Pelodiscus sinensis: one gene and its partners. The protein of the gene in region 1 interacts with the protein of each later gene in a pairwise test. Links are inferred from orthologs where the notes say so. Each region holds a gene or a part of one and is shown on either strand. Other genes may lie near its edges.

What was found.
Region 2: the proteins of THAP7 (region 1) and CCNDBP1 interact in binary tests that used the Homo sapiens proteins (3 or more experiments, as listed by UniProt). The two-hybrid records come from large-scale screens. The link is inferred for Pelodiscus sinensis from reciprocal best matches to the Homo sapiens genes THAP7 and CCNDBP1.
Region 3: the proteins of THAP7 (region 1) and LURAP1 interact in a two-hybrid assay, tested with the Homo sapiens proteins (2 studies listed by BioGRID and IntAct). The two-hybrid records come from large-scale screens. The link is inferred for Pelodiscus sinensis from reciprocal best matches to the Homo sapiens genes THAP7 and LURAP1.

The regions. Positions count from the first base shown.
Region 1 is NW_027465849.1:2,982,813-2,986,553, forward strand, and holds the start of THAP7 (THAP domain-containing protein 7), read left to right. Parts: upstream 1-992; 5' UTR 993-1,148; intron 1,149-1,856; coding exon 1,857-1,936; intron 1,937-3,741. UniProt on the Homo sapiens protein: Chromatin-associated, histone tail-binding protein that represses transcription via recruitment of HDAC3 and nuclear hormone receptor corepressors.
Region 2 is NW_027465987.1:396,306-400,046, forward strand, and holds the start of CCNDBP1 (cyclin-D1-binding protein 1), read right to left. Parts: upstream 2,336-3,741; 5' UTR 1,955-2,335; coding exon 1,864-1,954; intron 539-1,863; coding exon 479-538; intron 1-478. Other genes in the region: ZNFX1 (NFX1-type zinc finger-containing protein 1), read right to left, coding at 3,396-3,741. UniProt on the Homo sapiens protein: May negatively regulate cell cycle progression. May act at least in part via inhibition of the cyclin-D1/CDK4 complex, thereby preventing phosphorylation of RB1 and blocking E2F-dependent transcription.
Region 3 is NC_134719.1:2,895,858-2,899,598, reverse strand, and holds the start of LURAP1 (leucine rich adaptor protein 1), read right to left. Parts: upstream 2,328-3,741; 5' UTR 2,153-2,327; coding exon 1,961-2,152; intron 1-1,960. UniProt on the Homo sapiens protein: Acts as an activator of the canonical NF-kappa-B pathway and drive the production of pro-inflammatory cytokines. Promotes the antigen (Ag)-presenting and priming function of dendritic cells via the canonical NF-kappa-B pathway.

The DNA of each region.
Region 1 (3,741 bases):
CGCGTTGTCTACACTGGCCCTCTTGCACAAAAGCAGTTGCGCAAGAGGGCTTTTGCCCGACCGGGAGCAGCATCGTATTTCCGCAAGAACACTGACAATCTTACATGAGATCGTCAGTGTTCTTGCGCAAATTCAAGCGGCCAGTGTAGACAGCTGGTAAGTTTTTGCGGAAAAGCTTGCCAGTCTAGACACAGCCTTGGACTTTCAGAAGGACCGTGGCAGGGCCCCTCCTCCAAGGCCGACGGGTCCCTGGCTGGTTCCTGGGTGGACGCTTTGTGCTGGAGATCGGCCCCGCACCAGGGCTGCTCCCGCGCTTCAGAAATGGCCTGGGCAAAAAGGTAAAGAGTGAGACTGGAAAATTTGCATATGACATTAAATTAGTCATCTCCCCTCCCCCGTCACCAGACAAGGGTCACTGGGGATCCACTGGAGGTGGGAGAGGAGGGAATAGGGGCGGGGCTCTGAGGGAAGGGGGCGGGGTCTGGGCCAGGTGATGGAGAAGGGGCGGGGCCCTGAGGGAAGGGGGCGGGGTCTGGGCCAGGTGACGGAGAAGGGGCGGGGCCCTGAGGGAAGGGGGCGGGGTCTGGGCCAGGTGACGGCGAGGGGCGGGACTCTGAGAGGAGGGGCGGGATCTGTGGCAGGTGATGGAGCAGGGGCGTGGCTCTGAGGACGAGGGGCGGGGCCTGCCGTGGCAGTTGCTGAGGGGGAGGGGCGGGGCCCTGAGGGAAGGGGGCGGGATCTGGGCCAGGTGACGGAGAAGGGGCGGGGCCCTGAGGGAAGGGGGCGGGGTCTGGGCCAGGTGACGGCGAGGGGCGGGACTCTGAGAGGAGGGGCGGGATCTGTGGCAGGTGATGGAGCAGGGGCGTGGCTCTGAGGACGAGGGGCGGGGCCTGCCGTGGCAGTTGCTGAGGGGGAGGGGCGGGGCCTGTCTCCCGGCTGCTCAGCCAGGGCGAGACGCACTCCGATTGGCCGCCGGGGCACCCTGCTCCCCGCCCCCGCCCGCGCTCTCGCGAGCTCGTCGCGGGCCGACGCAGTGGGAGGGGAGCCTCGCGCGCCCATCCCGCTCTCGCGAGAACACGGCGGGAGGCCGAGCTGCGCCTGCGCCAGTCCCGGAGCCGCTGCGGCTGTGGAGGGATGGGAGCGGGGAGGTGAGACCGGAATCCCCCCTCCCCCTCGGGCTACCCCCGCGTCACCGCCTCCACGCGTCACCGCTACGTCACACCCCCGGGAACCCCCCCCCCGCGGGGATTCCCGGGGGTCCCAGCGTCACCGCCCCCGTCACGACCCCGCCCCCCACGGGGCCTCCCTGGCAACAGCCCCCCTGCCCCTCCCCCACCCCTGAGATCTCCCCTCCTGCCCCTCCCCCACCCCTGAGATCTCCCCTCCTGCCCCTCCCCCACCCCTGAGTTCGCCCCCCTGCCCCTCCCCCACCCCTGAGATCTCCCCTCCTGCCCCTCCCCCACCCCTGAGTTCGCCCCCCCCCCGCACCTGCTGCCCCCGCCCAGGGGCTCCATGCTGCCCCCCCTTCCTGCGCAGCTGGGTCCCAGTCCTGGGGGGGCTGGTGGGGGGGGTGTCACCGCGCCGCCGATTAAACGATTTACGGTTTTTGGCAGCCTGGCTCCGCCCCGGGCGCGTGGCTGCGAAGCCTCGTCCGTGTCTCGCGTCGTCGACAGCACTTTTGTCGGCTCCACGATTCACGAACCACACGCTTCTTAACATCCCCGGGGGGGGGGGGGTCTCCTGGCTGTAGGGCTGGCAGGAGGGTGCCCTGGATGGAGGGGTAAGATGGGTGAGACAGAGCCACTGGAGGGGGGGTTGAGTGATTTTCAGGGCCGCCCATCTCTGTCTCCTCACAGATGCCCCGTCACTGCTCTGCTGCCGGCTGCTGCACCCGGGACACCCGCGAGACCCGCAATCGAGGAATCTCCTTCCATCGGTAGGAAGTAACCTGGCCCTGCAACCTACCTTCACAACCAGCCATTCCAGCCCCCCCTTCCTCCCACCCCGTGGGGAAGGTATAAGGCAGGGTCACCAACCAGAACGTTGGGATCTGTCGGTAGATCTCAGAGCCTCTGACAAGGGATCCTGACTGGTTTGCCTGGGAAGCTCTCAAGCGCTGGCGCTTCAGTTGCCTCTCCACCCACTGTCCTGCTGCTCCTGTCCTCTGCCTCGGAGCTGCCCCCCTGGGAGCTTCCTGCTTACTTTGCAGGTGTGGGGGAGGGGGCACACCTGCAGAGCAAGCAGATGGAGGGGCAAAAAGATGGGGGGCACTGATGTCAGGGTGTCCCTCCTCCACCCACTTCTGTACCTTGTCTCCACACAGAGAGAAGGGGATGGATTTGGCAATGCAAATCTCTATCACTGTCACACGCTGTGTGTGTGTGTCTGTCATTCTCAGAAACACACACTGTCCTTCACTCTCATCCCCCAATCCAACACATATGTGGGTTGTTGTTGTTGTTACGTCTGTTCCTGCTTGCAGAGTGGGTTATTTTTTGTTTCTGACTGGACTGTGCATTTCATAATTTTCATTTTTCTCTTACGCTTACATTTAATTCTTTGGGCAGTGAGTTTTAAAATGCCAAACCTGCCGTGGCTGGAGTCATTATCCCCGTGGTAATTGCTGCTCCTGGAAGTGGCTGGCATGTCCCTGCAGCCCCTGAGAGAGGCAGAGCAGGGGGTCTCCACGTGTTGTCCTGGCCTGCAGACACCGCCCCTGCAGCCCCCATTGATCAGTAATGGGGAACAGTAGAAGCTGTGGGCTCAGTGCCGGTAGAGGAGGGGCAGCACATGGCACCATGGAGCCGTTGCTGTACGTGCCAGCTGCTTTCAGGAGTGGAGCAGGGCCAGGCCAGGGGTAAGCTGCCTTAACCCCACTGCTCCACCACCTGGAAGCCATCTCAGTTAAACAGTGCACAGCCCGAGCCTGCTTCCTGAACCCCTGGCCCAGGCCTGAACCTCCTCCTGCCCCCAACATGAGTCCCTCTGCACCCAAACTCCTTCCCAGAGCTTGCAGCCTCCTGGACCCCAGTCTCCTACCATGGGCTAAGCCCTGAGCCCTTCCCACACTCCAAACCCCTTGGCCCAAGACCAGAGCCTGCACCCCTACTAGCCTGTTGAAAGTGAGCAAGGAAGGGGGATGGAGTGAGCAGGGTGAGGCCTCAGAGAAGGGGCGGAACGGGGCAGGGCCTCAAAGAAGGTGCGGGAAGGAAGTGGGGCCAGGGTCTTTGGGCTTGAGGTAGATTTCACATTTCACTGAACTTGAAAAAGTGATCTTGTGGTTAAAAAGGTTGGAGGCCACTGGTGTAAGGGGACAGCCAGGTGCGCAGAATGGCAGTACCTTTAACACCAACAGAAAAGACATACCTTCTCACCCAGCCGACTTGCATGACTTCCTGCCACAAAGAGACATTCGTCATCGGAGCTTGTTGCTTCAAAACCACCGTCCAGACCCGGGATTATCAAGGAATTGCTGAGGAGTTAGGACGAATCTTCCCTTCTCAGCAGGTTATTCCAGAACTGCCCACTAGGGGGTGCCTTACCTCTTCATCTGCAGCTGCCAGAGTTCTGCCAGAGCCCAGATGCTGGGCTAGATGGGCTTTTCGTGTGATCTATTCTGGCTGGTCCTGCATCCCAGCTCTGGTGGAGACTTTGGCGGTTCAGTGGCTTTTAGGGCATCAGCATGTCTCAGTTGAAAGTTCCTGGCAAGGGGGGGCTGTCCTTGCATCTGACTTTGCCCCC
Region 2 (3,741 bases), on another chromosome or scaffold:
TCCTGCTTTGGGCACGGGGCTGGACTTGATGACCTCCTGAGGTCTCTTCCAGCTCTATGATCATCCTCTGACAGGTTCATATCCATTAACTGAAAAAGCAATGAAGTGGCTTCCCCAATTACGGGACTGAATTTAGCAAACCCCAAAAGCACTGCCATAAATTCAACTTGTAAATTTCTCCAAGAGTGAACATCTTAAGACCCCCATGATGTTTTTTAATTGTGCAATCCGATACTGAGGGCAGGGCTCGTAAAACCTTTGGAAGCTGTTCTGAGGGAAATCGTTTGCGCTTGCGGACCAAGTGCCAGCACAACATGAGGTCCCCGGTGCGGTCCCTGGCGGACCAGCAGAAGCTCCTGGGCGGTTTCTTTTCCACATTGATCCCTTTAGCGCACCGCTCTTCAGCTGGGCTCCTCCACTGCAGCCCGGGGCCCGTGGGCTGGGAGTCCTGGGCCCGCCCGCCACACCAGGCCCTTACCCAGCGTGTCCCAGAAGCGCTGCTGCTCGAAGGCCTCACTGCTCTCCCGCGACTCCCCATCTGCAAAGACACCAGCGCGGCGCTCAGAAAGGGCCGCCTCCCCGCCCGCCCCCCGGGCCACCGCCGCCTCCCCCGGATCCCCCCCCGCCCGCCCCCCGGGGCACCTCCGCCTCCCCCGGATCCCCTCCGCCCGCCCGCCCCCTGGGGCACCGCCGCCTCCCCCGGATCCCCTCCGCCCGCCCGCCCCCCGGGGCACCGCCGCCTCCCCCGGATCCCCTCCGCCCGCCCGCCCCCCGGGGCACCGCCGCCTCCCCCGGATCCCCTCCGCCCGCCCGCCCCCCGGGGCACCGCCGCCTCCCCCGGATCCCCTCCGCCCGCCCGCCCCCCGGGGCACCGCCGCCTCCCCCGGATCCCCTCCGCCCGCCCCCCCCCGGCACCGCCGCCTCCCCCGGATCCACCCCCGCCCGCCCCCCCCCGGCACCGCCGCCTCCCCCGGATCCCCCCCGCCCGCCCCCCCGGGCACCGCCGCCTCCCCCGGATCCCCCCCCGCCCGCCCCCCCGGCACCGCCGCCTCCCCCGGATCCCCCTCCCGCCCGCCCCCCGGGGCACCGCCGCCTCCCCCGGATCCCCCCCGCCCGCCCCCCGGGGCACCGCCGCCTCCCCCGGATCCCCCCCCGCCCGCCCCCCCGGCACCGCCGCCTCCCCCGGATCCCCCCCCGCCCGCCCCCCCGGCACCGCCGCCTCCCCCGGATCCCCCCCCGCCCGCCCCCCGGGGCACCGCCGCCTCCCCCGGATCCCCCCCCGCCCGCCCCCCGGGGCACCGCCGCCTCCCCCGGATCCCCCCCGCCCGCCCCCCGGGGCACCGCCGCCTCCCCCGGATCCCCCCCGCCCGCCCCCCGGGGCACCGCCGCCTCCCCCGGATCCCCCCCCGCCCGCCCCCCGGGGCACCGCCGCCTCCCCCGGATCCCCCCCGCCCGCCCCCCCGGCACCGCCGCCTCCCCCGGATCCCCCCCCTCCCGCCCCCCGGGGCACCGCCACCTCCCCCGGATCCCCCTCCCGCCCGCCCCCCCGGCACCGCCGCCTCCCCCGGATCCCCCTCCCGCCCGCCCCCCCGGCACCGCCGCCTCCCCCGGATCCCCCCCGCCCGCCCCCCCGGCACCGCCGCCTCCCCCGGATCTCCCCCCGCCCGCCCCCCGGGGCACCGCCGCCTCCCCCGGATCCCCCACCGCCCGCCCCCCCGGCACCGCCGCCTCCCCCGGATCTCCCCCCGCCCGCCCCCCGGGGCACCGCCGCCTCCCCCAGATCCCCCCCCGCCCGCCCCCCCGGCACCGCCGCCTCCCCCGGATCAACGTCCCCCGCCCCCCCGCCCCGCCCCGCGGCCGCACCTCGGAGCCGGGCCAGGGCCGCGCGCAGCACCTCGCCGAGCTGCCTCAGCGGCTCCAGCGCCCGCGCGAGCTCCGCACCCCCCGGCTCCATCCGCTCAGCCCCAAGGTCTCTGCGCTTTCTGCGCACGCACACGGGGCGTGGGGACCGTCAGCAAAACACGGCCGAGCAATGAGCCGGGCGCCGCTCAAAGGGGCTCGAGTCCGGACTCCAGCGTCAGAGCACCAGGACTACTTCCGGCCTCGCCGGAAGTCTACTCAGTGAGACCCCACCCCGAGCTACTTCCGGCCGAGGCCGGACCCCATTCAGTGAGGCACCAGGGTCACTTCTGGTCGCGCCCTGCCCCGTCTTCAGACCCCTCCTGCCCCCAAGCTACTTCCGGCCCCGCCCGGGCCTCTCCTAGTCAGACGCCGGAGCTATTTTGGGGCACCCGGCCTTGGCCACTGTGGCAGACAGGATGCTGGTCTAGGTCCCTGAGACCCCCCCCAGCTACTTCCGGCTGCGCCCTGCCCCCACCGAGTGAGTCACTAGAATAACTTCCGGCACTTGAGGCACCAGGGTTACTGACCCTAACCCATCCCTGAGACCCCCCCCCCCAGCTACTTCCGGCTGCGCCCTGCCCCCACCGAGTGAGTCACTAGAATAACTTCCGGCACTTGAGGCACCAGGGTTACTGACCCTAACCCATCCCTGAGCCCCCCCCCAGCTACTTCCGGCTGCGCCCTGCCCCCACCGAGTGAGTCACTAGAATAACTTCCGGCACTTGAGGCACCAGGGTTACTGACCCTAGCCCATCCCTGAGCCCCCCCCCCCCCAGCTACTTCCGGCCAATTCCCAGCCCTCAGTGAGACTCCACAGCTGCTTCCAGCAGCGCCCGGATCCGATTCAACGGGTCACCTGAGCTACTTGCAGCCGAACCGGACCTCGCTTAGTGGGGCACCAGAACTTCTTCCGGTCACGCGCTCCCCCGTCACTGAAACCCCACAGCTACTTCCGGTCGTGCCCGAGCCCTTCCTTGGGGCACCAGAGCGACTTCCGGCCGCGCCAATAGTGGGCCGGTGGGGAGGAGCGGACCTGTAGCGGGGTGTCCCGGTCTCTCCGGGGGGGGGCGAGGCTGCTCCCAGGAAATATTGCATTTAAATGACTATGAATAAAATTTATTGAGCTATAAAAGATTGAGGGTTAAACACTCAGTGCAATGAGCAATAGCCAGAGCTACTGCAGGGGCTGATGCCACCGACTGGTGCCAGCCAGCCCTGGAACTACATTAGGCCCCGCGCATGCTTCAGGCTAAAGCAGATGAATTTGTTACATCTATTTCATTCAGTTGCTTGATTCGACATATAAAGTGCGAGTAGGAAATAGGACTAGTTCTAGCAACAAACACAGCAAGTGTTAATCACAAGAAATCCAATTTGTCAAACAGAGCCAGTGAGCACCCGCTGGCTACTCCACGTGCTATGCAGCTTGGCAGTGGGGAAGAAAGAGCATTCATGGGGTTAAAAGGTGTACTACTGAGCCAAATGTAGCTCTTCTATATCATCCTGCGGAGTTCCTCAAAGTTGAGCATGTTATTTGCAGTTTCTGACCAGGCCGCATGAGTTGCCCCATCCATTTCAGGAGCTAAACGGTTGCTGTGTTCCAGAGTGTGGTTTGCACCTCCAATAACTTCCTTACACTCTGGGCACTTGCTCTTCTCCATTGCCCCACCACAATCACCAATCACGTAAATGTGGCCATTGGGGCACTTGAACCAGTGACCTCGTGGATAACCCAAGGCACTAACAATCTGCACTCGCTCCTCCTCCGAGATTCCCAACCCAGACTCTGGAAGAGCTGTCTTTAGTTCTTCCATTTTCCTCTTCACCACCTTTTCATCC
Region 3 (3,741 bases), on another chromosome or scaffold:
ATTATAGCAGGGGAAACTGAGTCATGGACAAGGGGAGAGACTAGTGCATGCGCACAACTGCCAGCAAAAATCGAGCCACTAGAGGGAGGAGTTTCAGGTGGGGAAACTGAGGCATGGGACAAGAGTAAGGAACTTGTCCAAGACACTCAGTGGAAGAGCCCCAGGTCTCTTGGACTCCAGCCGTGTGGTTTATCCACCAGACTTTCCTCCTTTCCCTAACGATAAGCTTTTAAACAGCCATGGTTAGACAGGCCGGGAGCACAGTGGCCCCCTTTCCAGTGTTTTCCTTTGGAGGCTGCTCTCCCCGACCTAGCCAACACCCAAAGGGACATCAGGGGACAGTCCCAACCCCACACTGCCTCCTCCTGCCCCCCCCCCCTGGGCCTGCAGCTTGACTGCCAGAGGAGCTGGGAACTCCAGCCGGGTCGGGCATCTCAACCCTGGGGCCACGTCCCCACGTTCAGAGCGTAGACCCCGGGGCTCTCCCACCACAACGAACCCCTTCCCCCACCCACCGAGCCAGGCTTGGCTCTAGAGAGGAGGGGCCAGATGCCCCAGCGATGGGCAGAGCAGAATATCGGTGACCCCACGGAGCAGGCAGCGAGAGGACGGTCCCCGCCCTCCCACGGGGCAGGGAAGCAGGGAGTGGTGCTGCCCTGAGCCCCCCATGGGGCAGAGAGGGAGAGGAGGTGGGGGGTGACTCCATGGGGCAGGAGGGCAGTGTTGGCCCTAGCGCAGAGAGGGGAAGAACTGTCCCAACCCTCGCCCCCGGGGAGATCAAGGGGGAGGTGTGGCTCCAGTGGAGAAGGGAGGATGTGATGGGAGGCTGCAGGCCCGAGGGGCAGACAGGGTGAGGGGCAGATGGGGAGGGGGGCTGTAGCCCAAAGAGGGAAGGGAAGAGGAGGTGGGAGGCCGTAGCCCAAGGGGGCAGGCAAGGGGGAAAGCAGGGCTGCCAGAAGCCACAGGGAGCAGGTGGGAGTGGCATGGGGGGTAGAGAGATTGGGGCCCCAGGGGTGATGGGAAGGGACAGGGGCAAGTATGGGGAGAAGGAGTATAGCCCCAGGGACTGGCAAAGGGGGGGGGATGGAGAAGAGGCTGAAGCTCCAGGGAGGGAGACCAGGCAGCAGGGAGTGAGGGGGGAGGAGGAAGATGAGAAGGGGCAGGCGGAGGGGGGGGAAGATGGGGAGGATGCTGTGGTGCTAGGAAGGGAGACCAGGCAGTGGAGAAGAAGATGGGGGGCAGGGGGAGAGAGCTGGAGGATGGGGGCGAGCTGGGGGGGCAGGCCAGTAGTGGGGGGGAGATGAGGAGGCGCAGGCGGGGGGGCAGATGAGAAGGAGGCGGTGGTGCTGGGGAGGGACCCCAGGCAGTGGGGGAGAAGATGGGGGGCAGGGGGAGATGGGGAGGGAGCTGGGGGGGTCAGGCGGGGGAGGAAAGCGGGGGGCGGGCTCGGGGGGGGGGGGCAGACCAGGCAGTGGGGAGGAGGGAGATGGGGAGGGAGAAGGTGAGGAGGAGGCTGTGAAGCCGGGGAGGGAGCCCAGGCAGTGGGGGAGAAGATGGGGGGCAGGGGGAGATGGGGAGGGAGCTGGGGGGTCAGGCGGGGGAGGGGCAGGCCAGGCAGTGGGGAGGAGGGAGATGGGGAGGGAGAAGGTGAGGAGGAGGCTGTGAAGCCGGAGAGAGAGCCCAGGCAGAGGGGGAGAAGATGGGGGGCAGGGGGAGATGGGGAGGGAGCTGGGGGGTCAGGCGGGGGGGGCAGACCAGGCAGTGGGGGAGAAGATGGGGGGCAGGGGGAGATGGGGAGGGAGCTGGGGGGGTCAGGCGGGAGAGGAAAGCGGGGGGGGGGCAGACCAGGCAGCGGGGGAGAAGATGGGGGACAGGGGGAGATGGGGAGGGAGCTGGGGGGTCAGGCGGGGGAGGGGCTCGGGGGGGCAGACCAGGCAGTGGGCGGGGGTCTCCCACTCACCAGTTCCAGCTTCAGCGCCTTGATCTTGCCGGCCAGCCCCCGGCGCTGCCCCCGGGCCGGGCTCTCCCCGAGCAGCGCCGCGGCCGGGTCCTCCCGCAGCCACCGCAGCAGCCCGTCGGGGGGCCGCCGCCCCACCTTGCCCTCCAGCTCCTTCAGGTCGGGGGGCAGCGGCTCGCAGCCCGGCCCCTCCATCCCCGCTCCTGCCCGACGGGCCGCCTAGCGCAGCCTCTGCCCCGCAGCCCGGCCCCCCGACAGCCCCGGCCCCGCCGCCTCCACCTGCCCGGCTGCAGGCAGCCCGGCCGCTGCCCGCGGGCCGATACACCCCGCGGCCGTAAGGCTCCGTGTGTAGGCGCAGCGCAGCTGCCTTATTTCCCCGAGTGGAGCGCACGCGCAAAAGTGTGTGTGTGGGGGGGGGGGGGGAGCGCCTGGCGGTGTGGACCAATCCTGCTTGGCGCAGCAGGCAAGGGAAGTAAGTGGAGGGGAGGGGAGGGGGTAGGGAAGTATGTGTAGGCAAGGGAAGTAAGTGTGTGTGTGTGTGTGTGTGTGTAGGCAAGGGAAGTAAGTGTGTGTGTGTGTGTGTGTGTGTGTGTGTGCGCGCGCGCCCAGGTGCAGGTCGGGGAAGTGTGTGTGTTGGCAAGGGAAGTGTGTGCAGGCCAGGGAAGTGTGTGTGTTTAGGTAAGGGAAGTGTGTGTGTGTGTGTGTGCAGGTCAGGGAAGTGTGTGTGTGTGTGTGTAGGCAAGGGAAGTAAGTGTGTGTGTGTGCAGGTGCAGGCCAGGGAAGTGTGTGTGTGTGTAGGCAAGGGAAGTAAGTGTGTGTGTGTGTGTGTGTGTGTGTGCAGGTCGGGGAAGAGTGTGTGTGTTGGCAAGGGAAGTGTGTGCGTGTGTGTGTGCAGGCCAGGGAAGTGTGTGTGTGTGCAGGCCAGGGAAGTGTGTGTGCAAGAGAGATGCACAGCAGAATGAACTCCCCAGATCCAGCTGGCAGCCCCAGCGAGGGGGGAAATGTCCGCCAGGGTGGGGGTGCTGGAGGGGCAGCGGGCTGTCTGCAGGGCAGTAGGGAGGCTTGCCAGAGCTGGGCGCAAGTCCCCGTTCTCTCGCTGGCTTCCTGGGTGGTGCTTAGGCCTAGCTCCCACAGGGATGCCGCTGGCAGCTGTCTGCCTCCAAAGACAACAGCCGAGGCGCTGCAGCATTTCACTCACCCTGTGGTCTCCAGGCCTGTGCCGGCCGAACTTGCCCCACGTACGCCTAGGTGAGGGGAAAAGAGACGGGGCCTTGCCGTAGGGCCCAAAGCCCTCCCCACCCCCGGGGCAGAGTCAAAGAGCCAGCAGAGCCTCAGGAGGTGCCGGAGGGCGGAGCTGGGTGGCCGTGCCAGCTGCCTGAGGCTTTCTCTGCCGTGGATTTGAGTCTGAGATTTCTCCCCAGCTTTTGTTCAGCCAAGAACAAGCCACCACGTTGCCACCAGCTGGAGTTATGCCTTGATGGTTATTGGTTCCTGGTGGAGGTGTCCCACACGTGCTGAGCGGGAGGAGGGGGGGGTGCTGGTTTACTTGCCACATGCCTGAGCCATGGCAAATTGGGCTGGCTGACGTTGTACCAGGAGACATCTTTACCTGCCTGGCCTGATCTAAAGTCCAAGGTATTTGGCTCTGAAGTGCCACTAATTTGAAGAGCTAGGTTTTAGGCTCTCCTGGTTCCCCTTGTACAATGGGGGTTGCAAGGATAAATCCTGGGTGGTTTAAGTGCCTTGCCCAAGGTCACCTGGCAAACCAGTGTCAGACCTGGGAT